Linked DNA regions of Solanum lycopersicum. The protein of the gene in region 1 binds, or shares a complex with, the protein of each later gene. Links are inferred from orthologs where the notes say so. Each region holds a gene or a part of one and is shown in the gene's direction. Other genes may lie near its edges.

Evidence for each region.
Region 2: the proteins of probable inactive ATP-dependent zinc metalloprotease FTSHI 5, chloroplastic (region 1) and probable inactive ATP-dependent zinc metalloprotease FTSHI 1, chloroplastic are in contact, whole or in part, in a cryo-EM structure (PDB 8XKV), measured with the Arabidopsis thaliana proteins. The link is inferred for Solanum lycopersicum from reciprocal best matches to the Arabidopsis thaliana genes emb2458 and FtsHi1. Residues at the interface, in NP_187084.6 of Arabidopsis thaliana: Arg815, Gln902, Lys934, Glu938, Arg942, Pro943, Asp947, Arg948, Thr1148, Glu1149, Ser1150, Arg1151, Ser1152, Leu1154, Gln1198, Tyr1199, Trp1201, Asp1205, Pro1207, Ala1208, Val1209, Tyr1210, Tyr1211, Ala1212, Asn1214, Ala1215, Val1216, Ser1217, Ala1218, Leu1219; in NP_567691.1 of Arabidopsis thaliana: Ser497, Val500, Glu653, Leu656, Arg660, Leu678, Arg684, Gln692, Gly693, Arg696, Arg697, Gly731, Gln732, Leu763, Arg766, Val771, Ile772, Tyr773, Gly774, Ser775, Asp776, Thr777, Ser778, Lys779, Ala780, Val782, Leu785, Ser786, Ser789, Arg793.
Region 3: the proteins of probable inactive ATP-dependent zinc metalloprotease FTSHI 5, chloroplastic (region 1) and uncharacterized protein LOC101244341 are in contact, whole or in part, in a cryo-EM structure (PDB 8XKU), measured with the Arabidopsis thaliana proteins. The link is inferred for Solanum lycopersicum from reciprocal best matches to the Arabidopsis thaliana genes emb2458 and AT5G22210. Residues at the interface, in NP_187084.6 of Arabidopsis thaliana: Lys294, Phe302, Arg305, Phe309, Arg404, Ile405, Arg408, Glu424, Phe431, Pro432, Glu435, Val436, Val446, Val447, Pro448, Lys449, Gln452, Leu453, His454, Arg456, His457, Gly458, Trp459, Lys461, Trp462, Gln463, Ala466, Lys467, Leu470, Lys471; in NP_680207.1 of Arabidopsis thaliana: Glu14, Ile15, His16, Lys18, Val20, Pro21, Pro22, Leu23, Asp24, Val26, Phe27, Leu28, Trp30, Leu31, Arg33, Arg37, Val38, His39, Phe41, Lys42, Pro43, Lys44, Asn45, Thr47, Arg48, Ala49, Ile50, Thr51, Pro52, Pro53.

Annotation. Positions count from the first base shown.
Region 1 is NC_090801.1:45,932,225-45,940,190, forward strand, and holds the start of probable inactive ATP-dependent zinc metalloprotease FTSHI 5, chloroplastic, read left to right. Parts: upstream 1-2,928; 5' UTR 2,929-3,132; coding exon 3,133-4,058; intron 4,059-4,641; coding exon 4,642-5,113; intron 5,114-7,966. UniProt on the Arabidopsis thaliana protein: Required for plastid development during embryogenesis. Might be involved in chaperone functions or play a structural role in the thylakoid FtsH complex.
Region 2 is NC_090807.1:67,502,292-67,510,452, forward strand, and holds the start of probable inactive ATP-dependent zinc metalloprotease FTSHI 1, chloroplastic, read left to right. Parts: upstream 1-4,078; 5' UTR 4,079-4,242; coding exon 4,243-4,988; intron 4,989-5,061; coding exon 5,062-5,146; intron 5,147-6,908; coding exon 6,909-7,343; intron 7,344-7,426; coding exon 7,427-7,480; intron 7,481-7,581; coding exon 7,582-7,647; intron 7,648-8,018; coding exon 8,019-8,114; intron 8,115-8,161. UniProt on the Arabidopsis thaliana protein: Functions in chloroplast biogenesis and chloroplast division. Required for plastid development during embryogenesis. Might be involved in chaperone functions or play a structural role in the thylakoid FtsH complex.
Region 3 is NC_090810.1:58,845,528-58,853,555, reverse strand, and holds uncharacterized protein LOC101244341, read left to right. Parts: upstream 1-3,807; 5' UTR 3,808-3,940; intron 3,941-6,491; 5' UTR 6,492-6,518; coding exon 6,519-6,752; 3' UTR 6,753-6,899; downstream 6,900-8,028. Other genes in the region: 50S ribosomal protein L27, read left to right, coding at 1,635-1,901, 2,582-2,683, 2,755-2,940; transcription factor E2FB, read left to right, coding at 8,023-8,028.

The DNA of each region.
Region 1 (7,966 bases):
GAATTGTAAAGTTGCTATTACTACTGATATGGGACGTAGTCCTAATGGTTTTGACTATTTAACTGTTACTGCGCATTGGATCGATTATAATTGAAATTTACAAAAAAGAATTCTTGGTTATAAAATTTGTCAAAAGAAAAAAACCAAAATTAATATTGTTATTACTGTGTTGGAAATTTTAAATTTTTTCGATCTTTCTGATAAAGTCGTTAGTATTACTTTAGATAATGCTTCTGTTAATTTAAATGCTATTAATATGCTTAGAACCTAGACCTTGTCCTATTAGTAAATATGTTTTTCATGTTAGATGTGCAGCACATATATTAAATTTGGTTGTTAGTGACACTGTGAAATCATTTGAAAATAGTTGTGATAAAATTGATAATGCTTATTTTTACATTTTCATATAAATAGTAGCAGTAGAATTAATTAATTTAAAGAACTTTGTAATGCATTTAAACTTCCGTTTAGAAAAGTTCTAAAGTATGTAAAAACTAGATGGAATTTCTTATATGATATGCTTGAAGTTGTTTATGCATATAGGCAACCTATTACTATGCTATTTAATAATCATAATGTTTATCCTGAATTAAAACTTAATGATAGTGATTGGGATGAAGTAAATGAACTTAGAATATTTTTGAAATCATTTTATGATGCTACTAAAAATTTTTCTAGAATATATTATCCTACTATTTCTGAAATTTTAATATACATATGTGAGATTTCATCTATCTTTTCTGAATATAATATAAATGCTTTATTTACCTCTGCTATTGAAGTTATGATTACAAAATTTAAGATTTTTTCCCCCTATCCATTAAATTTATTTAACTGCAATTCTTTTCAACTCTGAATATAAAGAATAAGGTGCAAAAACTTTAGTTGAATGCATTTATCGGAATTTAGATATTCAACCTGAACAAGAACTTGATTTGGTAACATGTCAAAATAGTATAAGTTCTTTGCTAAAGAAATGTATGATAAATATTCTTTCTTAGATAATGTTGAAAATCCTCAAACGTCTATGAATCAAGTAGGTGCTCATGGACGAGTGAAACATAAACTTGGTCTTGACTCTTCTAATAAATGTAAATTTGTTAAATATCTTGAACAGGGTTCGGATGATATTACAAACGATGAAGGTATACCGCAACTATTGAACTGGTGGAGGAATCGTGGAACTCAATTTTCAAAACTTAGTAGGATGGTGAAGGATGTACTTGCAATTCAAGGATCATCAGTAGCTTCGGAGGTAGTTTTCAGCGCGACAAGATTTCAAATTGGAGACCACATATATTTGTTAGCAGAAGACAGCTTGAAGATATCAGTGTTATTTAGAGACTGGATAAATGTTGAGCGTAGAAATCAAGGACTTTCAAGGTTAGATAGTCAATTTGAACTTTTCATAAATTCAGCTATTGGATGTGGTAGTGATGATGGCGTCGAACTTCAAGATCGTTAACGAGCTTTAACAAGACCAGAAGTTGATTACAATCAATCTATATCTGAGTTAGAAAGAGAATTTACAGGACCATACAACTATTAGTATTACATTCGAGACTTAGTTGAAACAGAACCCTTCCTAGAAGGTGGCTGCGTAAACTATGTACTCTACTAATAGTTGTAAATTGAAATTGTAATTTGTTACAAATTTAAATAAATTAAATTGATATTTTTTAATTTTTGTAATTGTTTTATCCTTATTTTAATTTATTTTTTTTTTAAATTACAAATTTTATTTATTTATAATTTACAAGACACAAGTTATAAATATAACTTATAAAATAAATATTAATGAATAATAAGTAATAACTTATAAAGTATAAACTTCAAAAGATTTAAATTTTGAGAACTTTATTACACTTTACTTGCAAACTTAATAATAATAAAAAATTAAAAAAATATCTTTAAAATAAACTTAAGTAAAAAATTATAGTATAAATTTAAAAACTATTAATTTAAACTTAGAAAAATAAAAAAAATAATCATATTTTCGTAATTTCAAAAAATGTCATCCCGTTTATCCCGTTCCGTTTCATACGATCCATTCCGGTTCTTTCCGATTCCATCTCAGTATATAGTGGAACGGGACAGAATCGATTATTTATTTCGGTAATTCCAATCTGGTTCATTCCAGTACCAATCAACATACCGATCAACACGTCCCGTTCGGTTCGATACCGGTTCATTTTGATCCGAGAACCGGTTCCGATCCGTTGACAAGTCTTAAGTTGATCCTAGACCTATAGACATGACCATAGTTGCAACGAGATGTTGGAAACATAATAGTCCGACACGTCCAATATGAGATGCACTCACCGTGGTACAAGAGTGCAGAGAAATATATACATATTCTTCACTAATTCAAAACCAGATAAACATATCTAATATATACTGTCACCTAAATCTATATTTTCTATATTAGAATAGAGCACACATGGAAACAAACAAAGAATTCCTTGCCCATGTCTTTAATTAACCCATTTCTGCCTTATTTTATAAAGTACAAATCTAAAAAGAAAAATAACTAGCGATATTGCTACCACGGTAGCTTGAATATATACTTTTTATTTGAGCAGGTTCTTCAATCCTCTTCTCCAGTAATTGTGTATTAATGTTCCTCTTTGCTCGTCCCCGAACCATTGGAGAGAATGCATTTTAGAGGTCGCTTAACATGCGCCAATAAAGAGATCTAACTAATTAATGATATTATATTTTGAGATATTACTTTTTTTAGTTAAGTTAAATAATTTTGTTAGAATTTAGAAATTAAAAATATAATTATATTTGAAAAAACATATATATTCAAATTTTACATGTTCTTAATTAAAAAGATATGATCAAATATAACTCTAATTTTAGAATTTGAAATAAATGAAAAATATTTGATAGTAAAATAAAAGAAATACAAAAAAGAAAAGAGAAATGGCAAAAAGACTAGAACAAGAAGAGCCCATGATTAATTTGGGATTCTATTTGCTCTCGCCGTCTCTTCTCTGGGTTTTTTGGTTAAAACTTAAAACCCCAACGCCGGTCTTATCCTACTTCTTCTCTGCTTCTCTTCAACTTTCTGCACCATGCCATTACTCTCCATTTTCCAATTTCATGACTAGATAACACCTCTTCATTATGTATGCTTCTACTACTACTACTGCCGCATTCTTCAATCTTCAAAATCCATTCTTGAATCGCCATAGCCATTCCAATTGCCGAATTCGGTCGAAAAAGCTCTCTTCCCATGAACCAGGTAAACCCATAAGTCTTTTACGAATTCCTATTGCTTCAGCCCCAGCTAGACTTATAAAATGTTCTATCACCCAAAAAGACACAAACCCAGATGACCAAAATCCTCTTAAACCCATCTTAAAGCCTGTAGTGTACACATTATTCTCTATTGCATTTGGATTGTGCCCGGTTTTCGGGTTTCAATTCCCTGCTACTGCTTCTGTTGCTGCTGCACCGCCCCCCGCCGCAGCTGAGCTGATACAGAAAACTAGTAATAAACGGAAAGATGCCCTTGAGACTAGACATCAATATTCACATTGTACGAAGAGATTGTTAGAGACGGTTACAGGGTTGCTTAGAGTGATAGAGGAGGTGAAATCTGGTAAAGAGGATGTGAAATGTGTGGAGGAAAAGCTAAAGGAGGTCAACATGAAGAGGAATGAGTTGCAAGGGGAGATCATGAATGGTCTCTATGCGGAACTGAGATTGTTAAAGGGGGAAAGAAATGCCTTGGTCAATCGTTCCGACGAGATTCTTGATGTAGTGCTGAAGAATAAGAGGGAGGAGGAAAGTTTATTGAAGAAGGCTAAGGGCAATGAAAAAGATGCAGTAGTAAAGGAAAAAGTTGCAAAATTGGATGAGGAAGTGAGACAGAGTGATGAGGAATATAACAGGGTATGGGAGAGGATTGCAGAGATAGATGATGAGATTATGAGGAGAGAAACACTTGCATTGAGCATTGGTGTGAGGGAACTTGCATCTATTGAGAGGGAGTGTCAAATCTTGGTTACGGAGTTTCTGAGGAAAATGAGGCTGCAAAGCATTGAGAGGTAAGACATTGTTAGAATTTTAGTAGCTTATACACAATTTTTTTGATGTATAATAGCGCAACATATCTTTTGTACAAGCAATGGCAGCAAAGCTTTATTAATTTAAACGATGGATATTGGCATGAATTTGGCATTGAGCCTTATTTTTTTATTTGAGCAATTAGGTTCTGGGGATATCTTGGGAAGGAACTGCCCCTTTGTGCATGATAACTTAGTTGGCACCTAAAACAGATGGCTCTGTTGTGAACTGATTGCTTTTACTTTCTTTTAGGATTTAACCTCCTAAATTGCTTTGGTATTTTCCAGCAATACATTATCTAGACGTTTTAATGTTTAGTTCACTGTTCTATTACCTAGAATTTAATTCCAACGCCAATTGCACTTGTTCCATGGTCAGCTAATCTACTTTATACTGGCGACTAGATAATTGACATTTAGCATGTTATTCTTGTAGGCTGTAGATATCCTTTTGTTCTTTAGATGAGGTTAGTTTTGTTTACAACAAGACTTACTATTGATGTTGTTTGTGAACTATATTTTCCCAATCATTTACATTGCTCTATATACTTGTGTGTCTTTGCAGCGTGCCTAAAAGCCCTGTCACTAAGCTTTCTAGATCTGAGATAAAAGAAGAATTGCAAACTGCTCAAAGACATTTGTTGGAGCAGATAGTTCTACCCAATATTTTGGAAGATGATGACAATATACTCCTTTTTGATCAAGACTCTATGGTGTTCGGTCAGCGAATAGAACAAGCACTTAAGGACTCAAGAGAGATGCAACGGAATCTTGAGAGTCGTATTAAGAAAAAAATGAAGAGATATGGCAATGAAAAACGTTTTGTTGTAAACACACCAGTGGATGAAGTTGTCAAGGGTTTCCCTGAAATAGAATTGAAGTGGATGTTTGGAAACAAGGAGGTTGTAGTTCCAAAGGCCGTTAGCCTCCACTTGCATCATGATTGGAAGAAATGGCGTGAGGATGTTAAAGCAGACCTCAAGAGGGATTTGCTGGAGAATGTTGAGCATGGTAAAAAATATATGGCTGAGAAACAGGTAACTTTTGCTAAAATGCTTGGTTCTTCCTTCTTATGCTAGGTTGTGCAATCATCACTTCTACTTTTACTTTCTAGTACTATATATCAGCAGTTTTATCATTTAGCAGTAGATTAATCATCTTGGAATTCCCTTTGTTGCTCATCGCGATCGATAGCTTATCTTTTTCTCTGTAGTAAGATTTACTTTGTATACATTACCACTTTTCAGGAAAAAAAATGTAAAGAGTTACTTTGTATTCATTTAACCGGTGTTTCGTAGTTACTGATTTAGTCTCATATCTTGGTCTTCAATTTTGTGATCTAGAAGTTAAAGACTCTGTATTGTGAGTGGTTTGTTCATTATAGTTTGTATAGGTTGTGGTCTCATGGATAAACAGAGGTGCCTGTTAGGTAGGATAAGAAGGTATAATTTAGAAAATTACTTGCTTTCACATTTAAGCATTTTGAATGACCTGGTTATGGTATGGAAAGAGTTAGTAGTTAATTAATAGAAATATTGAGCTAAAAGGAGGTCTAGGTATTACTGTACAGGCTATTGCAAGTCGCTGGCTCCTGCTATCTTTGTCCCAAGAAATTCTATTACCAGATTGGTCGTATTGATTAAAGGCACTCTATTTTGTGACTTCTCAAAAATAAAGAAAGGGAAGCAAAGTTATGAATTTTACTTAATGGAGAATGAAATATTTTTCAAGTTTTTTTTTGGGAACTTTTGAGCCTCGAGATCAACCTCGTGTTTTTGTATCTTGTAATTGACGTCATCAATTACTTTGTGATTTACATCTGGAACTTGACATAATGTCAATTGATGAGATGAGTGGTAAAATTAATGATAAGCTGAAAGTTTGGAGACATGCCCTAGAGTCTAAAGGTTTCAAGTTCAGCAAGACTAAAATAAAGCACCTGGAGAGTAAACTCAGTGGCATAATGCACGAGGGGGAGATGGAAGTAAAGATCGATGTCAAGTCATTTCCAAGAGAGGGAGCTTCAAGTATCTTGGGTTTATTATCCAAGGAGACGGGGAGATTGATGATGATGTCACACATCATATGGGCGCGGGGCGGGCGAAATTGAGGTTCATTTTCGAAGTACCATGTGATAAGGTGTCGTCTAGGCTTAAGGCAAGTTCTACATAGTGGTGGTTAGACCCACATTGCTGAATGGGGTGGAGTGTTGTCCAGTCAAGAATGTCTATGTTCAGAAAATGAATGTAAGAGATGAGGTCGCTCATATGGATGTGTGGGCATATCAGGAGAGATATGGGTAGGAACCAAGTTATATGAGGCAAGGTGGGCTTCCATGGTATGCAAAATGAGGGAAGTGGGGTTAAGATAATTGGGGCTTGTGAAGGGGAGGTGCGTAGATGCTCGTTAGGAGGCGTGAGAGGTTGTCATAGCAGGAGGTAGGAGAGGTATAGGTAGGCTGACAAAAAATCAGGGAGGGGTGTGGGGTGATTAGACAGGACATGGCACAAATTCAGCTGACTGAGGACATTACCCTAGGTAGGAAAGTAAGGAAGTCGAGGATTAGGTTAGAAGGTTAGTAGTTAGTTGAGTATTGTTATTCTTTAGGTGGGGGAGGCAGGGGGCTAGCCCCATCTCTTCCCTATTAGTATTAAGTAATCATGTTGTTTATTATTCTTCAATGTTTTTTATTATCTATTGCTTCACGTGCTTTGTATTTGGATATTTTGCTGAAATCTTTTCTTCTTGCAACCCTGCTCCGGTTAACTTCTGTTTTGATCCCAGTTCTATCGGAAACAACCTTGCTACCCCACAAATATAGTTTTCAAATAGAACCAACAGATTGGGGTTGCTGACCTGTTGCCAACTCAAACGGTGTGCGCCCTGTAGATTCACTCCTCTGCAAGTTATAAGAAAATTGCGCCATGTCTAGGAGCTTAGCCCAATCTTTCTGGTGCGCACTGACATAGTGCCTAAGATAGCACTCAAACAAGGCGTTGACGCGTTCAGTCTGGCCGTCAGTTTGGGGGTGAAAACTGGTGGAAAAGTGAAGTTTTGAACCAAGAATTTCAAAGAGTTCACTCCAAAAGTTCCCAGTGAAACGAGGATCCCGATCGCTAATGATGAACCTCGGCAGCCCCCAATACTTCACTACATTTTTGAAGAACAATTGTGCAGCCTCCTTAGCAGTGCAACCGGCTGTGGCAGGCATGAAAGTAGCATTTTTGGAGAATCTATCCACTACGACCATAATTGTGCCAAACCCGTTTGACTTCGGCAAAGAAGTGATGAAATCCATAGATATACTCTCCCATGGACGATCAGCTACGGGTAGTGGCTCCAACAGCCCTCCTGGTTGCCTTTGCTCTACCTTGTCTTGTTGGCACACAAGACAAGTCTGCTTATACTGCTCAATCTCTTCCCGCATTCGTGGCCAGAAATAGAAGGCCTCAATCAACACCCTCGTTCTTTTCTGCCCTTGATGCCCAACCCACAGAGTGTCGTGGCTTTCTTTGATAATACGCCGCCTGATGAATCCGAACTTGGGTACATAAACTCTTCGGCCAGTGGTAAGCAAAAATCCGTCTTCTACCCAAAACCGTTTGGTTTGGCCTTGAGCAGCCAGTTGCATTATCTTCTTGGCTTTCGGATCGCGTTGCATACCATCTTTGATTGCGCCTTGGAATTCACTACGGATTGAGGAGATGGCCGCTAGGTCAGTCTTCCTGCTCAATGCATCGGCTACTACATTGCCCCTTCCTGGTTTGTATTCCAAGATGTAGTCAAATTCCGCCAAGAAATCCTGCCAACGAGCCTGCTTTGGTGAGATCTTCTGCGATTGAAAATAGCTAGTGGCAACATTGTCGGTTTTCACTACGAATTTGGAGCCT
Region 2 (8,161 bases), on another chromosome or scaffold:
GAAGTCTTCCTAGCAATGAATAAGAAGATAATGGAGGTAGTAAATAGTGAAAATAATGACTTTAGGAGTTTCATAGGTTACAAAGAGTTAAATAGGTTACAAAGAGTAATGGAAGAATTAAGAATGAAATAAAGTGATGGATAACCAAGATGATGTAGAAGTTATCCATTCTAATATTTATTAGAATGTTTTTATCTTACAATGAATCCAGCCAATAAAGCCAAAAGTAATGGTATTACATGATTACCAAGTCAAAGATGAATAACATGATTAAATTGGTAGTTTAAGACATAAATGCCTACCAACGGTTATTCTTATAACTCCAAAATAAAGTAATTTAATATGTCAAATATTAATATTAAAATGCTAATAACCTAACAAAAACTTTGAGAAAGTTTTCAATGTTTTTGGGTAATAATTGGGCAACTTGCATCGACTCTTCTAAATATAGCGGAGTCAAGCCTAATCACATATATTTATGTATTGGTGCTTATAATTTGGAAGATGAAAAATTTGAATCTTATTATCATAGACAACGTTCAACAAGTACAATTTGTCGGCCAACTTGGGTTATGCCATCATTGACGAAGTGTTTTTTGTTTTGGCCCTCTAATTCAATAATAAGAGTCACTGTTTATTTTTAGTTTGATGAACTATTATTATTATTATTTTTACTATTGTTGTAATCTAGCCAGACATATGATATTTAGTTCCAAAAAAAATTATATCTCCATAAAGTGTAGCAGTAATATCCTCTCCCTCTTCGAATTTCGATGCTTACTTCTTTATCTTTCAGAAAGATATTGGTTTCTTCATGTTTCATTAACTATTACATGTAATATTTCATTCACAAAATGTATCTTCCTGGTTTCTTTCCATTTGCCCTACTGCAGGCACAAAGCGAAATTACGTAAAATTATAAATAGGGTGTTTTCAGTTGTGAGAAATAGAAAATAGCCGTTAAAAACTATGGCCGATTGGGCAAACCTTCCAAACGATCTTATTGCTCACATCGCAAATCGTGTTAAAGTGATTGAAGATTTTATTGCTTTTGGTGCAGTTTGTATTTCTTGGCGAATTGCCGCTACAAAGGTAAATTTCGATCTGCTTTCTCCTCAAGTTCCGAGTCATGAGCTAGAGTTCTGTCTCGAGGTGAGAGTGAGAGTCAAGTCTTGGGTTGAGACCAAGGGTAGGGGCTCAAGTCACGAGTTAGGGTGGAATTGGAGGTCGATATCGGATTTAATGTTAGGTTAGAATTGAGGTATGGGTTCATTCTTGAATTTATGTCCCGAGTTGGGTCGAGGTCACAATAGGCAGGGATAAGGGTTGTTGGTCAAACCTCAAAGCTCGAGCCTTATGGATGGTATCAATGAACCATAGTAAAGTGTGGGATTGGGAAGGTGGAGCATTTAAAAAGAATAGGACTTAAATTGGGCGAGTCCTGACCCCCCAATTTTAGTCCAATCTATTTCAACTCAAATAACTTTAGGGTCAACTCAGTTTAATTTTAACTTATTTAGTTTCAACTCAAACCGCTCATTTGACACCCTTATGTGCGACCATTGTTCGATATTTTTTAAATACTTTCAAAGAACTTTACGGCTTAATTTCATTCCAACCGGCTCATCTGAACTCTACCTCTAGTTGTTAGAAACGAGTTCTTATCACTATTACATCAAAGACTTTCTTTGGTTGGAAACAAATTCTCTCGAAGTTAATTGAGAATTAATCATACATAATACAATTTTGAGATAATTTCTTCCACGGTTATATCCCAATCAAACATTTTGATAATAAGGATGAATTTTAAAATTTACAATCAAACAATAAGATTTAAAATTTGCAAACGAAATATGAGAATGCTCATAGAATAAATAAATTAGTATATAACATAGTAAAAAAAAAAGAAATTAAACAAACTAGCAAATTATTTGTGATGGTATAATCCAAGTAGGCGGAGAAATATGACTAAGTGACAATCCAGGATATATAGATTCAACTTTTCCGTCTTTAAAATTATAAGACCCCATATCTCTACCACCATCCAAATAGTCAAATTCGTCCTTCCAATCGTCAGTAAAATATATATAATTAGGCTTGATTTCAGGAAATTTAGTAGAGTCAATTGAGCATGTTCCTGTATTAAGGCCCAAAAAAATAGTTGAATTTCCCAAAGTTTTAATCTCATCTTCCTCTTTTAATTCGCCGCCCTTGACTACATCTACTTCAAAAACTTTAAATTTATATGTCTTATATCTATGAAGCTCCGGATGATGAGCAAATCGGGTAATAAATAATAGTTTATCTGATAGCTGGACCAGGTAATATTGAACTGAAGGCTGCAGAAATATGTCATGTTCGGACCAATAAAGCAAGTGTGGCTCTACTGCGTTTGGTTTGGGAGTAGCAGGCCCTGGAAAACCCAAAATTCACCACTAGCTGTAACATAATAGAATTTACCCTTATAATAATTGATACCCATGACAGCACCCGAATTCTCCATCTCAATATTTGTTCAACTGAGATCTCCAGAAAGCCAAGCGAGTAATATTTGCGTGATAGTTAACCACGAGTACATAATCTGAGGTAACACAAGGACTTGCAGATAAGATAGCATGCTCTAGAAGGTTCCAGAACACTTCATCTCCGAGACCATTAGAAGCCATTAAGTTATCTCGTGAAGGAAGTTGAATTTGGGTACGAGACAAATGATGCAACAAGTTCATCTCTCCGGTAGTATCATCCATGGTGCAGAGCCATCCTTCCGAGGGAAAACAATATCGTTGTCTAGCTTCGGGGAGAAACAAAGGAGTAACTTTCTGCTTGATAAGAGAGTAAAATTCTCGGCAATCATCATGTTTGTCAGCCAACATAAGTAAAGGAGTTTTGGTAAAAAAGATATCAAATTTATGGTTAGGGGTAGTAGCAATTTGCCAAGAGGTACAAACACAAGTAAAGAATAGGAAATCTTTAGGTGATTCAATACGATTTGCAATCATAGCAAGGAGATCCATCGATAATTCTGCCCAGCCGCCTGCCATGAAGAAGAACGAGTTGTAGTTCTATTTTTTTTTTTGGTTACAAACTGCAATATATATTGGCGCAAGTTTTCCTATTTTTATTCGTATTTCTATATTAATAAGGATTTTGAACAAGCCCAAAAATATTTGTATTCATATATTGACAAGGTTTCGTAAGGGGAAGACAAATTAAATACTAATGATGAAGTCAAAAATAGTCTAATTACACTTAATAACTATAGTTTGATAATTGCAATTCGTAACTACATGTTATAAGGATAGTTTGATAATTGCAATTCGTAACTACATGTTATAAGGAGAAGAGTGGCGAGCGAGACTGGAAGAGGGAGGAGAGAAGCGAACGAGAGAGGGCAGAGAGATGAATTGTAATGTATATTGGTTAGATAATTTATATTATCTATATGTATTTGTATATTCTGACGAGAGAGATTAGGAAAGGAAGGAGAGAGGCGAACGAGATTGGGAGAGAGAAAAGACATAGCGAGATATGACAATAATTTGTATAATTCGATTGTACGTTTGTATAATTCACGTATCTTCATATAATTTTGAGTAATATAAAGTCTGGAATTACACAAATATAATAAAATTCGAAATACCGAATTGATACAAGCATAAACATATGAACTTGAAACAATTATACAAAATATATTATACAAATTGCAGTATACAAAATTCAAAAACTACACGTTTATACAAACTTAAAAAAGTTAAAAAAATAAAAATTGAATGTATATAATGACAAAATTGAAAAACCAAAGAAATCATCATCATTAACAAATATAAACAATCTTATACAAATACAAATCAAAAAAAGAATTATTAGTTGCGAATTACACAAATATGACGAATTATACATATACAAACGTGATTAATATACAAATTCAAAAGCAACTCACAAAATTAATGTATAATATTAATCGCAAATAATAATTATAGCAAGTTATATCTATGATAAGTAATTAAATACTATAAAAATTTACTTAACCAGCATAATTATACTTAATTAGAACAGGCGGTAAACACTAAATGCAGATACGGGTCGTTGGGTCACCCGTTTTACAATTCGGATTCGGATAAACTCCATCTTCTCCCTTGCCTCTTTCGCCATAACACTCTGAGAACAAACAAATTGCAGAGCTAAAAGGACTCCAATTGGTTCAGTAAAAATGCTTCTTCACAAATCCAAAATCTCAGTTCAATGAGTATCAGTTCAGTAAACATGTCTTTTTCAACAGGTAACAATTTTATATCAGCAAGGTCCATTCTTCATCCAAAGCCCAACATTCAGCTTCAAAGTTCATTCGTAATCAAATCCCCATTTCAGAAAAGTTATACAAATCCTATTTTTCATAGAAATTTCAGAAAAAGATCACATTTTTACCATTCCCCATATGCAATTCTTGGAAAATGGAGGTCTAATTCGAAGTCCTCTGAAGAAGGGGCAAGCAATAATGAAGATTTTGTGACTAGGGTTTTGAAAGAAAACCCAAGCCAAGTGGAACCCAAATATCTAATTGGGAATAAACTTTACACTCTAAAGGAAAAAGAGGATTTGGGTAAGAAGGGTTTATTGAATGGTGGTGTTTTGGAGATACTAAAAAGGTTAAATATTAAAGGAATGGTGAAGAATGGAAGTGATGAGGGTAGTTTAATGAAGTCTGGGGATGTGTTTTTGAAGGATATTTTGAGGGAGTATAAAGGGAAGTTATATGTTCCTGAGCAAATTTTTGGTGCTAATTTGTCTGAAGAAGAAGAATTTGAAAAAAATGTTGAAGATTTGCCTAAGATGAGCTTGAAGGATTTTCAGAAGTATATGAAATTTGATAAGATAAAGTTGTTGACTTTTAAAGAGGATACTGGAGCTTCTTTGGGATTGGGGTCTAGAGATTTTATTGTTGAGTTGAAGGAGATGCCCGGAGAGAAGAGCTTGCAGAGAACTAAATGGTTAGTATCATAAACTTGTTCATTTCTTTCACTTCAGATTATAGATTTTGATGTTTATGTGATCATTCTACAGGGCAATGAAGCTGGATCAAAATCAAGCTCAGGCTTTACTAGAGGAGTACACTGGGCCAAGATATGAAGTCGAGAAGCAAATGATGGTATTTCATTTATTTTGGTGCTTTGTTCAATAATGCATAGTGACATTAGCTTCATTATCGGATGGGGAAAAAATTAACAACGACAACAAACCTAGTGTAATACCACAAGTGGGGTCTGGGGGAGGGTAGAGTGTAGGGAGACCTTACCCCAACCTTGAGAAGGTAGACAGGTTATTTCCGATAGATCCCCAGCTCAAAGAACGTTAAAAAAGAGGTCATAGCTACTAGCAGAAACAACAATTAGATAATAAGATACCCATGGTTAAAGGAACAACATGTAGAAATAGAAATATAAAATAGGAAAACAAGAATAAAACTAATGATCTATCGGAACTTAAACGTGTAGCTTAAGCAGACGGTGGTTTGCTATGATTTATAAGCCTGAATTAATTTATTAGTTAACAACCACTTGTACTGAAGTATAGTTCTCTTGATGATGTTTTGTTTTCTTATTTGATAGACAATTCTTCTTTTCAACAACATATAGTTATCGGTCATCAACCGAATGCACTGATTGCAAGTTTCAGATGAAAACTTAATTACTGTTTCTCATTATGTCTTGATTCATTGTGGTTACTATCTCTTGACAGGAAATTCCTGTGAAGGTTTTATGCAATTTGCCTTTACTCTCTTCGGGTAAAATGTTAACTAAATTTAGATTATCTGTTTGGCCTAGTGGCTTGGAATCTTTTATTGTTGACTGTTTTCAAAAAAATACTCAAGCTTGCCTGCCTTGTTGTGCTAGTTACTAATTAAACAGAAAAGGCCTTCTTGTGTACAGTTCTAAGAAACACATAAAGAAATATTTGAATTCGACAAAAAGACGAGTAAGCAGACAAGTAGAAGCTGCCATGAGAAAGTAACAATATAGTTGGAGTATATGTGTATTTAAAACTCAAATATAGATGTACCTGCAGACAAAAGCATATCGGCTGCTAATTTGTTACTAGGCACTGAAGTTAATGCTGTTATCTGATGGTTATATTTCTGTTTAACTGTTACCCTTTGTGGGTATAAATTCATTACATATTTAGTTACTCTGGAACCATACGGCAGAGTCTGCATAATGCAGTAGAAAGCTTTTAGGGTTAGCGGAAGATGGTGAAATTTGAAACTGGAAAACACGACTTCAGTTTGGAAAACTTGAGCAATAAATGAGTTTAATGTAGACTGTTGATTCATTTATGTGCAGTCCATTGGGATTTGGGACGAGTTTTTTTCTTTTCCTTTCTTTTGCAGTAAGTATATAGTTGGAGTGACATTTGTTGTGCAGAAGTGATAGCAGCATCTAAATGTCAACTGACAGTCTAAAAAGTGATATACAGAATTGTCTTTCAATCTAATTATATGATGCTTGGAAAGAAGAGCACAATTTCAGTAATCAAATCTGCCATTTCTTTGAGATCATATATTTCCTGAAGTGTAGACAAATCAACGTCGTGTTATACTGGTGGCAGTCTGTATGGTGACTGTATCACGAGGGAAAAGACTAAAGAGTAATTAAAGTATCTGAAAAGGTTCTCAAGTCCCTTAGCATAAGGTTGTTGTATCTCTTCTTTTTAGCTTAAGATTGACCTTATAGTCTCTTGAGCCTTGAAGGAAATAGGTGCTTTCTCTAGTTATGCAATTGGCAAGATTGTAGAACTTAAGTTTGGTGGGATAAGAATGTGGTTTAACGGGTGGAAACTCTTTGCTTTTCAAGTATGTTGGAAAACCTTTCTTTCTTTTTTCTTTTGCCTCTTACATAGTGATCCTATTGCAGTCTTGGGTGGGAAAATTACCTGAGTATCCTAATCCAGCTGCATCGAAGATATCAAGCAGAGTAATGGTAGAACTTGGAATGCTGACCGCTGCAATGACTGCTGCTGCGGTGATTGTGGGTGCTTTCCTGGCTTCAGCTGTATTTGCTGTGACAAGCTTTGTCTTTGTCGTCACTGTGTATGTCATGTGGCCTGTGGCCAAACCATTTCTTAAGCTGTTCTTTGGTCTCATCTTTGGTATCTTGGAAAGAGTGTGGGATAAGGTTGGTGATGCCTTTACTGATGGAGGAATTTTCTCCAAGTTGTATGAATTGTACACATTTGGTGGTGTCTCTGCCAGTATTGAGATGCTGAAACCAATCATGCTTGTTTTTGTGACTATGGTTCTTCTTGTCCGATTTACTCTTTCGCGAAGACCTAAGAACTTTAGAAAGTGGGTGAGTAATACTCCCTGTCCTAGAATTCGCAGTTTAGAAACACCTGCTTCTTGCAAATTCAAAATGTTGTGTGCTTCATTCAGGATATATGGCAAGGCATAGAATTCTCTCAGTCAAAGCCACAAGCACGTGTTGATGTGAGTTTCTAGTTTCTCACACTCTCTGGTCACAAAAATTCACAACTTTTCATCTGTAGATTATGGCCAATATTTTGTCTAAGTAAGAAGTTTCTGTTTAGGGTTCAACTGGAGTCACATTTAATGATGTAGCTGGGATTGAGGAAGCAGTGGAAGAACTTCAAGAGGTAACAGCGCCTTACACCACATATAATACTTCCTTATTGTGTATTCCCTCCATCCCAATTTATGTGATGTAGTTTGTCTGGGCACAGAGTTTTCAGAAATACGAGAAGTGTTTGCCATATTCCAAAACTACCCTTAATAAATGAATTTTTATATAGAAGAGCACATCTTTGTAGACTTTTTGCCAAATAAGTGGTCCAATATGGGTAAAGTGTTGATAGTGTCATTAAACATTTACCAAAGAAGGAAAGTGTGTCACGTAAACTAGGATAGGGAGAGTAATATTCTCTTACATTATAATGTGTGAAAGCTTGTCCCTCAGCCACAACCTTTAGCTTAATGGTTCTAATTCCTTCCATTTTTTGCCAACTAGTTGGTAAGATACCTGAAGAATCCTGAACTATTTGATAAATTGGGGATCAAGCCCCCACATGGAGTTCTTCTGGAGGGACCTCCTGGATGTGGAAAGGTATGCTATCCATTTCAGACCTTAGATTGGATTCCCAAAAAAAAAGT
Region 3 (8,028 bases), on another chromosome or scaffold:
ATTTTTAAATATGATTTCATTTTTTGAAAATACTTTTCGCAGAATATCAATTTGAGATTAAAAAACGTTTTCAAAAATATAAAAACAATCACTTGGATTTTAGTTTCGAAGAAAAGATATCTGAAAAAACATTTTATTTTACTAATTAAAATCATATTATTCCCCTTTACAAGTTCGATAAAAATATTTACAACTTCAATATTTATAAGCAAAATTAATTTATGTCCATAACTTATGTTCGATAAACGAAACCATTAAACTTAACCCGAAAACAAGCTAAAAAAAGCCCAATTCAAAACGGGTCAAGTATATTATAAAAAGGATGGCTGACATTTCTCTTATCTTTTTATCTCGAAGATTTTGCCATTGTGGCTCCATAATCCCCTCGGTGAGTTCATCTCTTTTCCCCTCTTCTGTAAATTCAATGTTTTTTTCTTGTACTATGTTTAATTGGGTGTTCGAAAATGTATTTAATTTTAGCTGACTCGCAAATCTTGGTTTACTATTCTCTCCATTTCAATTTGTTTGTGTGGTTCGACTTTGGCAAATAATATAAGAAAGTAAAGATTTTTTTTTAATCAAGTGGGGTTGAAGTAAAACTAATGTTATGTCGAATGTATCAAAATGTTGTTTAATGTGAAAAGTTAGAATTGAAGAGTTGCTATTGGAAATTGAAATGGAGGGGGTTAGTATTTATGCTTCACTAGGATTTGAACTTGAGACGTTATGGTTATCAATCTACTTTATTGACCGCTACTAATATTTTAGGTGGACTGCAATCTTGATGAACATACTAGTGTTTATTTTGTTGTTGATACTGGTTTCCTTTGATTCCTCTTTGTTTTGTGGTTTAAAGACTTGTCCTTTATGATTAAATATGGTTCTTTTATGACCAATTGCTTGCGTAAGGACTTATTTGCGGAATATTTTGTGGTGTAGAGTTTGCGAAATGCGTTTGTGGTGGAGGGGGGTTGATGTTTGGTGTAATTTTGAAAAGAAAAACAATGAGTGGAAGTAATGTGTATTGAAATGCAAGAGATATATAATGGAGTAAAGATAGTTGTAATGAGGACTTAAGGTACTTCTATTGTTAGGAGTGTGTGTTTTGTATTTTTTTTGAAGATTGATAATAAGCTCAGCAAATTGGTTTTATATTTTGATAAAGCTGAGTATTAAGAAATGACAATATTATCTAAACAGTGGTTGGAGCGAGCGATAAGGAGAAAGAGCTGAAATCGTAGTAAAAGGAAATGACTTATCTCATAAGTGAGAGTAGTTATTTCCCCCTTTTGATGGAAAACTTTTTTTCTTAGGAAATATGTTTAGGACCATTTTTATCACTCTTCTACTGTTTTAGTCATACCGAGCAGTGTTAAAGTCAGAGTCAAACCTTCTGTAGACTTACTATCAAAAATATATTTCTCCAATTTGTGTTCGCGATGATCCGGGGAAATTTTAGATTGGCGATTAAGATCCTTGGTAGTTGTTATGGTAATAGTTTTGTCCTCTTAGTAGTTCTATGCTCATATTTTTCCCATTGTTAAATATCACTTCCTTTCCTTTAGGCCTCTCATCTCTGATAGTAAGTACCACGAGAGGCTACTGAATTTCTTTGTTTTCTTTGCAGCGTATAAATGGCAGTGAGTTTGAGTCTTGTTTCCTCATTCAAAGGACTCTCCTTATCTTCCAATTCTCTCCTTGGGGTTTCTCTTCCCATTGCCCCTAAGTTCTCCGTTTCCTTCCCGTTGAAATCTCCATTGACAATTGAGTCTGCACACAAGAAAGGAGCTGGTAGCACTAAGAATGGTCGAGATTCTCCTGGACAGAGGCTTGGTGTCAAGATTTATGGTGACCAAGTCGCCAAGCCCGGTTCTATAATCGTTCGCCAGCGCGGTACAAAGGTTTCAATTTTACTTCTTCTGGATCTCCTCTCTCTTTTTTATTTTTGCCTAAAACTCGTATTTGCTGTGGAAGTTCTGATAGTTCTTTTGATTAATTAATAGTGCTTGAAATGAATTCGGATGAACCCACCCAAGTAGAGTGTAATTCCAGTTTTTTTGCTCAATACCTCACAAACATACTAGGTCCTGGCATCTTGTCAATAACTCTGCTCCATTCGTCTGGCTTTCTTCGTTTGGTTTGTATATTATTTGTTAGAAATATGTGGATTGTCTAGAGGGCGTTAGATTGAGTACAAAACAAGGTACTAGAGGGATACATATCTTGTCATTTGAAGTAACAGATTGCTATAAGGTTTAAGGTTTTGAGCTCGTGTCGTGAAGACATAGTTGGAAGTTCTCTTTAAGAAATGCACATTTGTTATAATCCGACTTGAGTTTTTTTTCTTTGCCGAAAGTGTCAGTTTCTGACAGTATGATGCTATGAGTAGATGTCGTCTTCTATCAGTTAGATAGTAAAAGGGTTTATGCCAGAGGTTGGTATTAGTTTTACTTTTTTTCGGCTCTGATATGATCCTGTTATCGTCTGTTTGTTTGCTCTAAGAGTAGTTCAAAAGTTGCATTCTCCGTTTAGCATTGCCATATATTCTGTTCCCTAATCGTTCTCGTGGTGATATTTCCAGTTCCACCCAGGAAAGAATGTTGGACTTGGCAAAGATCACACAATATTTTCTTTGATTGATGGACTAGTCAAATTTGAAAAGTTTGGACCTGACAGGAAAAAGGTTGAGTTCTTTAGCTTACTGCTTGTAGATATGTGGTACACGAGTGTTATTAACGTATACTGACTGTGCAGATAAGTGTTTATCCACGCGAGGTGCAACCTGAAAACCCCAACAGCTATAGAAACCGAAAGAGAGAGTCCTTCAGATTACAACGTGAACGTAGAAAGGCACGAAGAGAAGGTGTCATCCCTGAGCCTCAGTTGATAGTTGCTTCTGCTGCTGAATCCTCTGAAGATAATCCCATCACCACTTGCTGATAATGGTCTTTCGATTTTTCAAACATTCTGTTGTCGTTTTGGTTATTGCTAGTAGCTACTTGGGAACACATTTGCAGGCACATTTTCTAAACTGTGTTTCTGCCATTGTTGTCTTTTTTTGTTTGTAAATTGTGTTACTGAAAGCATGAGTCTTTGTCACAGTTTGTATGAGTACAGAATGAAATGTATGATTCAGAAGATGCAGCTTTGCACAATAGCACAACCAAAAGAGTTTTGAGTTTTCATTCGGTTTAAGTGTTCAGTTGGTAAAATCACAACTAAAATAATCCAATTTCAGAGACCTTCCACGTTATTCCGCCGCAGAAGCTAGTAGTAAGAGAAATCTTCTAATTTTAAGGAAATTTGAAGATTTTATCAGCAAATTTATGATCAAATTTAAACTGTTTAACAACCGTTTCATATAAATTAGGAGGATGAGAGTATATTTAAAAGAATAATGAGTAGTACATAAAAGGGTTCATTTGATATTAGAAGGAATATTAAATTTGGAATAATCTGTGGTCATATGATAAGTTATCTTATTATATATACCATAGAAAATTAATCCAATAGGATAAATTTGTTTATCTCATCTCTCGTATAAAAATAGTGACTGTGAAAACAATTAAGTGTAATTATAATTAATTTTAAAATAAAATATTTCATCCCTTTTAGTGGTTATCTTATTAAAAATAAGTTAATTTGAAAAAAAGTTATTCCATCAGCCATACGACATAACTTATTTCGTCAGCCCAGGGACGAAAATAGTAGGATAAATAATCCAAAAGAAAAAAAAACAAACTATGTAATACCCTATATCAAAATTGAAATAAAATAATCTTACATTTTATGGCGAGTTTATTATACGATCCCAAAACAAATACTCCGACCCGGAACCCGACTCTGGTGCTGAACAAATTTGTGGCAGCCATTTCTCTGTTCTCTTTGTAGAGGATTTTGTGATTCTGGTTGTTCTTCATCTTGCGATTTGCGACCCTCGGTGAGTTCATCTATTTATTTTATTTAATTTTTCTCATGTTTAAGTTTAGTTGTAATATGTGTCAAATCGCACTAGGCAAGCCCTGTGCCAAATTTTAGCTGACTGCAATCTTGATGAACAAACTAGAGTTGGTACTGTGATTTTTTCTGATTTCTCTGTGTTTGTGGTTTAAAGACTTGTCCTTTTTGGTTAAATTGTGAACCCTTTATCACCAATTGTTTGGTTAATGCTTTATTTGCGGAATTATTTTTTTGATGTAGAGTTTGAGAATGAGACTATGGAGGAAGGTAGATGATGTTAGGCGTTATCTTGAAAAGAAGAGTAAATGTGAATGTGATGTGTATTGCTAAGGAGCAAGAGATAGTTGTAATGAGGACTAAAGGTGATTTTTCCATTTAGGTGTGTTAGGCATGAAGGAAAATGCTTTTCCGAAAAATAAGTTGTGAGTATTATATGTGAGCATTGGTTGGAGCTAGCCGAGGAAGTGGTGAACTCTGCGTTCACTCTACCCTCCCCAGACCCCACTTAGCGGGATTGTCACTGGGTATGTTGTTGTGTTGGTTGGAGCTAGCGATATGGAGTAAGAATTGAAATAGCAGTAAAAGGACATGACTTGTGAGATAAGTGAGGAGAAGTCATTTTCCTCTTTTGGTGGAAAACATTTTCAGCAACCAAACACGAAAAAATAACTTCTTATATTTGAAGTTAACTAATTTTAACATGTATTTGTGGAAAATGATTCTAGTCACAGACTGAACAGTGCCAAAATCACAATCAGACTTTTCTAGACTTACTATTAAAAATGTATTTTTCCGATTTGTGTTGGTGATGATCGGAGTATATTTTGGATTGGTTATAATATTCTTCTTGGTTGTTTTTTTATGTCAATCGTTAGTTCTATGGTCATCTTTTTCCCCATTTTATACTTGGTACGCTTTGGCATATCCTAATACGGTGAAATAGAAATGCGCCTTAGTCTTGAATTCCTTTATGATATTCATCTTGTTACCTTTATTTAAACTTCCAAGATATTTCAGGCTGTTATTGATACTGTGCTATTATGACATTAGATTCTACTATAGTCCTAATTGGTATGCTTGGGTTGTTCCCGAGTTTTGAAACTCTTTTTACTAGTAAAAGTTACATAACCTTTTTCATTCCATGGGCAAATGCTAAGAGGGTAACCTAAAACCATCTGTATATTGAACATACTAATCAAATAAAAGAAGGTACTGGACTGCAAATTAAATAGCACTAGACGTTTAAATTAGGAAAAATGATGCAATTGTAGAATTTATCAGTGCAAGATGCCTTTTGTGGCGTACATAATCCAAACCTGTACTGATGATATCTTTGAACAGCAGGTTAATTGAACTGCTCTTGAGTCCTAAAGTCATTTGTACCTATTTATGTTTGATGCATATTTCAGTTTGTATTTAGATTGAGAGGAACCAAATAATGCAGTCACTGGTAGCCATATCAGCCATTGCTTATCAAGTTTTTATGCTTTTTCGATCTTTTGGCATTTTATTTGTAGAATTATTTGCCATCTGTCCGTGTCCGAGCTTTGGTAGACCGTAGATAAGAGTTACATGATACTTGTTGCTGGTGGGTTCTTGATTCTAGTACACTACAACGACTGGTTTCGGGATAGATATCTTATTTACACATATTAAGTGAATTATTAACATAATTACAAAGTTTGGGCCAAACTTCTCTGGATTCTGTGAACCCGTAGCTTGTGGTGTAGATCCGCCCCAAGGGAGAAAACTGTTGAATGAAAATTTGTTAGTAAATTTACTCCAAAGCAAGAATAAAAATGGAAAACTCTTAACAATTTCTGTGAATTATGAATCTAGTGCCTGTTGGCTGCAAAGTGACTCAGAATTTATGGAATGGTACTCACGAGAACCATAAGACCGGCAAGCTATCCAAGATGATATTTGGAAGCCTATCTCGCTCTTAGTGTTATATAATAGGTCTGTTAGACCATGTTCTGTATATGCTTGATCAAGTTGTTCTCAAAAGTCATTACACACAGCCAGTAGAAAAGTGCTGATTGCTGAAAGTGAAATAGAGTGACTGTTGCTGCATGGGTGATGAATCATATTGGTGCGCATGAAGCTTAGACTCTCCAAAAATGTTATTGAACTTGTGTTGAATCCTCCAAAAATGCTACTTTTGAAGGATCTGGCTCGCACTTGTTGGCATTTTTGAAGAGTCGGAGCAACTTAGTTTTGTCCAGTCATCCTACTTATAGACATCTATATTGATTATCTCACACTCTCGCTCTGAACTTTAAGCATTTCTATCCTTGAAGCCTTTGATTTGTTTCGTTGAGAAAAAAGAAAGTTGATAATGATCATATGCTACCAAGATGTTCTTACTTTCTATACTGCTCCTGAAAGTATTGACACACAGCTCCTCCTTCCGCGTGTTTATTGTCCATTTTATCTTCAGATTATTGAGATGCCTTTCTATTTGTGGTTTAGTGTTTGTTAAACTTCAGCATATCCATTTTCGTCTTGCCACATTCTCTTGTTTGCATCAGTCATCAGGTTCTTGAAGTTGACCAGTGATGGGAAATAGGCCAGCAAAGCCGGAGAGAGATGAGGTGCTTTTGAAGATTGTGCCTCCTCTAGATCAAGCATACGTTAGATGGCTTGCTCGTGATCTCGAGAGAATTCATGGCTTCACTCCAAGAAACCCTCGTGCTGTAAGGCCACCCGATCATTACATAGAATACATGCGTTTACAGGGATGGTTGGATGTCAGCTTAGATGACCCCGACCTTGCTCATCTACTTAAATAGTGAAGTATATCAACTGCAATACTCTTAAGAACATGTATAAACTTCAAATTGATGTTTAGTTTTCTGTACTGGTACATTGAGATTCAGATCCTGTGTATGATTTTATGAAATGGAAATCTTGTGAAATATCACTTGTTTGCTTGAGCTATGTGACTTTATTAGTATGAGTTTGCAATTATTTTCCCCTAGAGGGTCGCGGCGCGATCCTATCGGATCACTTTACCCTTAATCATAACTCTCGTGTTCGAACCATGGAATAGAAAAAACTTGTAGAAAATGCTCCCCCTTCTAATGACCTTTCAGTAGTTTGGGGTCTTCGAAAACAACCTTTCTATCTTGTATCTCCACGAGATAAAAGATAAACTCTGGATATATTTTACTCTCCACTAGGTTTCAATGATAACGTTGAAAATTTCTTTTTATCTAGTAGTGTGACTTTTGATTTAAAATCTCACTAGCGATTAAAACGACAACCTGATCTATAATGAATAGTGATTGATTATACATATCTGCAAATCGATAAGTCGAATCGAACCACATCCCTAATCGAATAGACCCTTAATATATATTTTTTACAATAACACAAATATTGTTATTTGTTTAACATAATACGTCTCAAAAGTTATATGACTATATAAGTACTATCATGTTGTACACTAACTAATATACATGGTCGATGACTAGATATGATTATTACTTTGCAAGTAATTTTTCTTCAACCGATTGATTAAACATATTAAAGTTTTTATCAATAATTTTTTTTTTCATGGAGCCCATAGAATTCAATTTGACATGTGAAAATGGAGGGTGCAAACTAAATCCAAACTTTATCATTAAACTATAATTGCATAATCATATTATTAAAAAAAAAAAACATAGTACTAAAGTACCATTTATTTACTTTGATTAATTAATTTTTATAATATATAGTATTTTTTTATTTACAAATAACTGCAAATTCCCTCCACCTATATATCCGAACCAAATTCCCTCTCTTTCTTCTTCTTGTTCTTCCCTTTCTCTCTCTTCCCGCTATTTTTTTTTCCCTTTTCCCAATTTCAGATCTCATCTTTTTCCACTCAATTCTCCTTTTTTTCCCATCAATTCTCACTTTTTTGACAAACCCCTTATGCCTAAAACTTCAAGAATCGAAAAGGGTTTTCAATTTTATCTCTTGTTTTGTCACTGAAAACAAAAAGATCGATTTTTTTGGGAATTTTGGGAGTTTTTAGCAGGTGGGGTTGTTTAAAAACGAAGGTTTTAGCAGATCATGAAA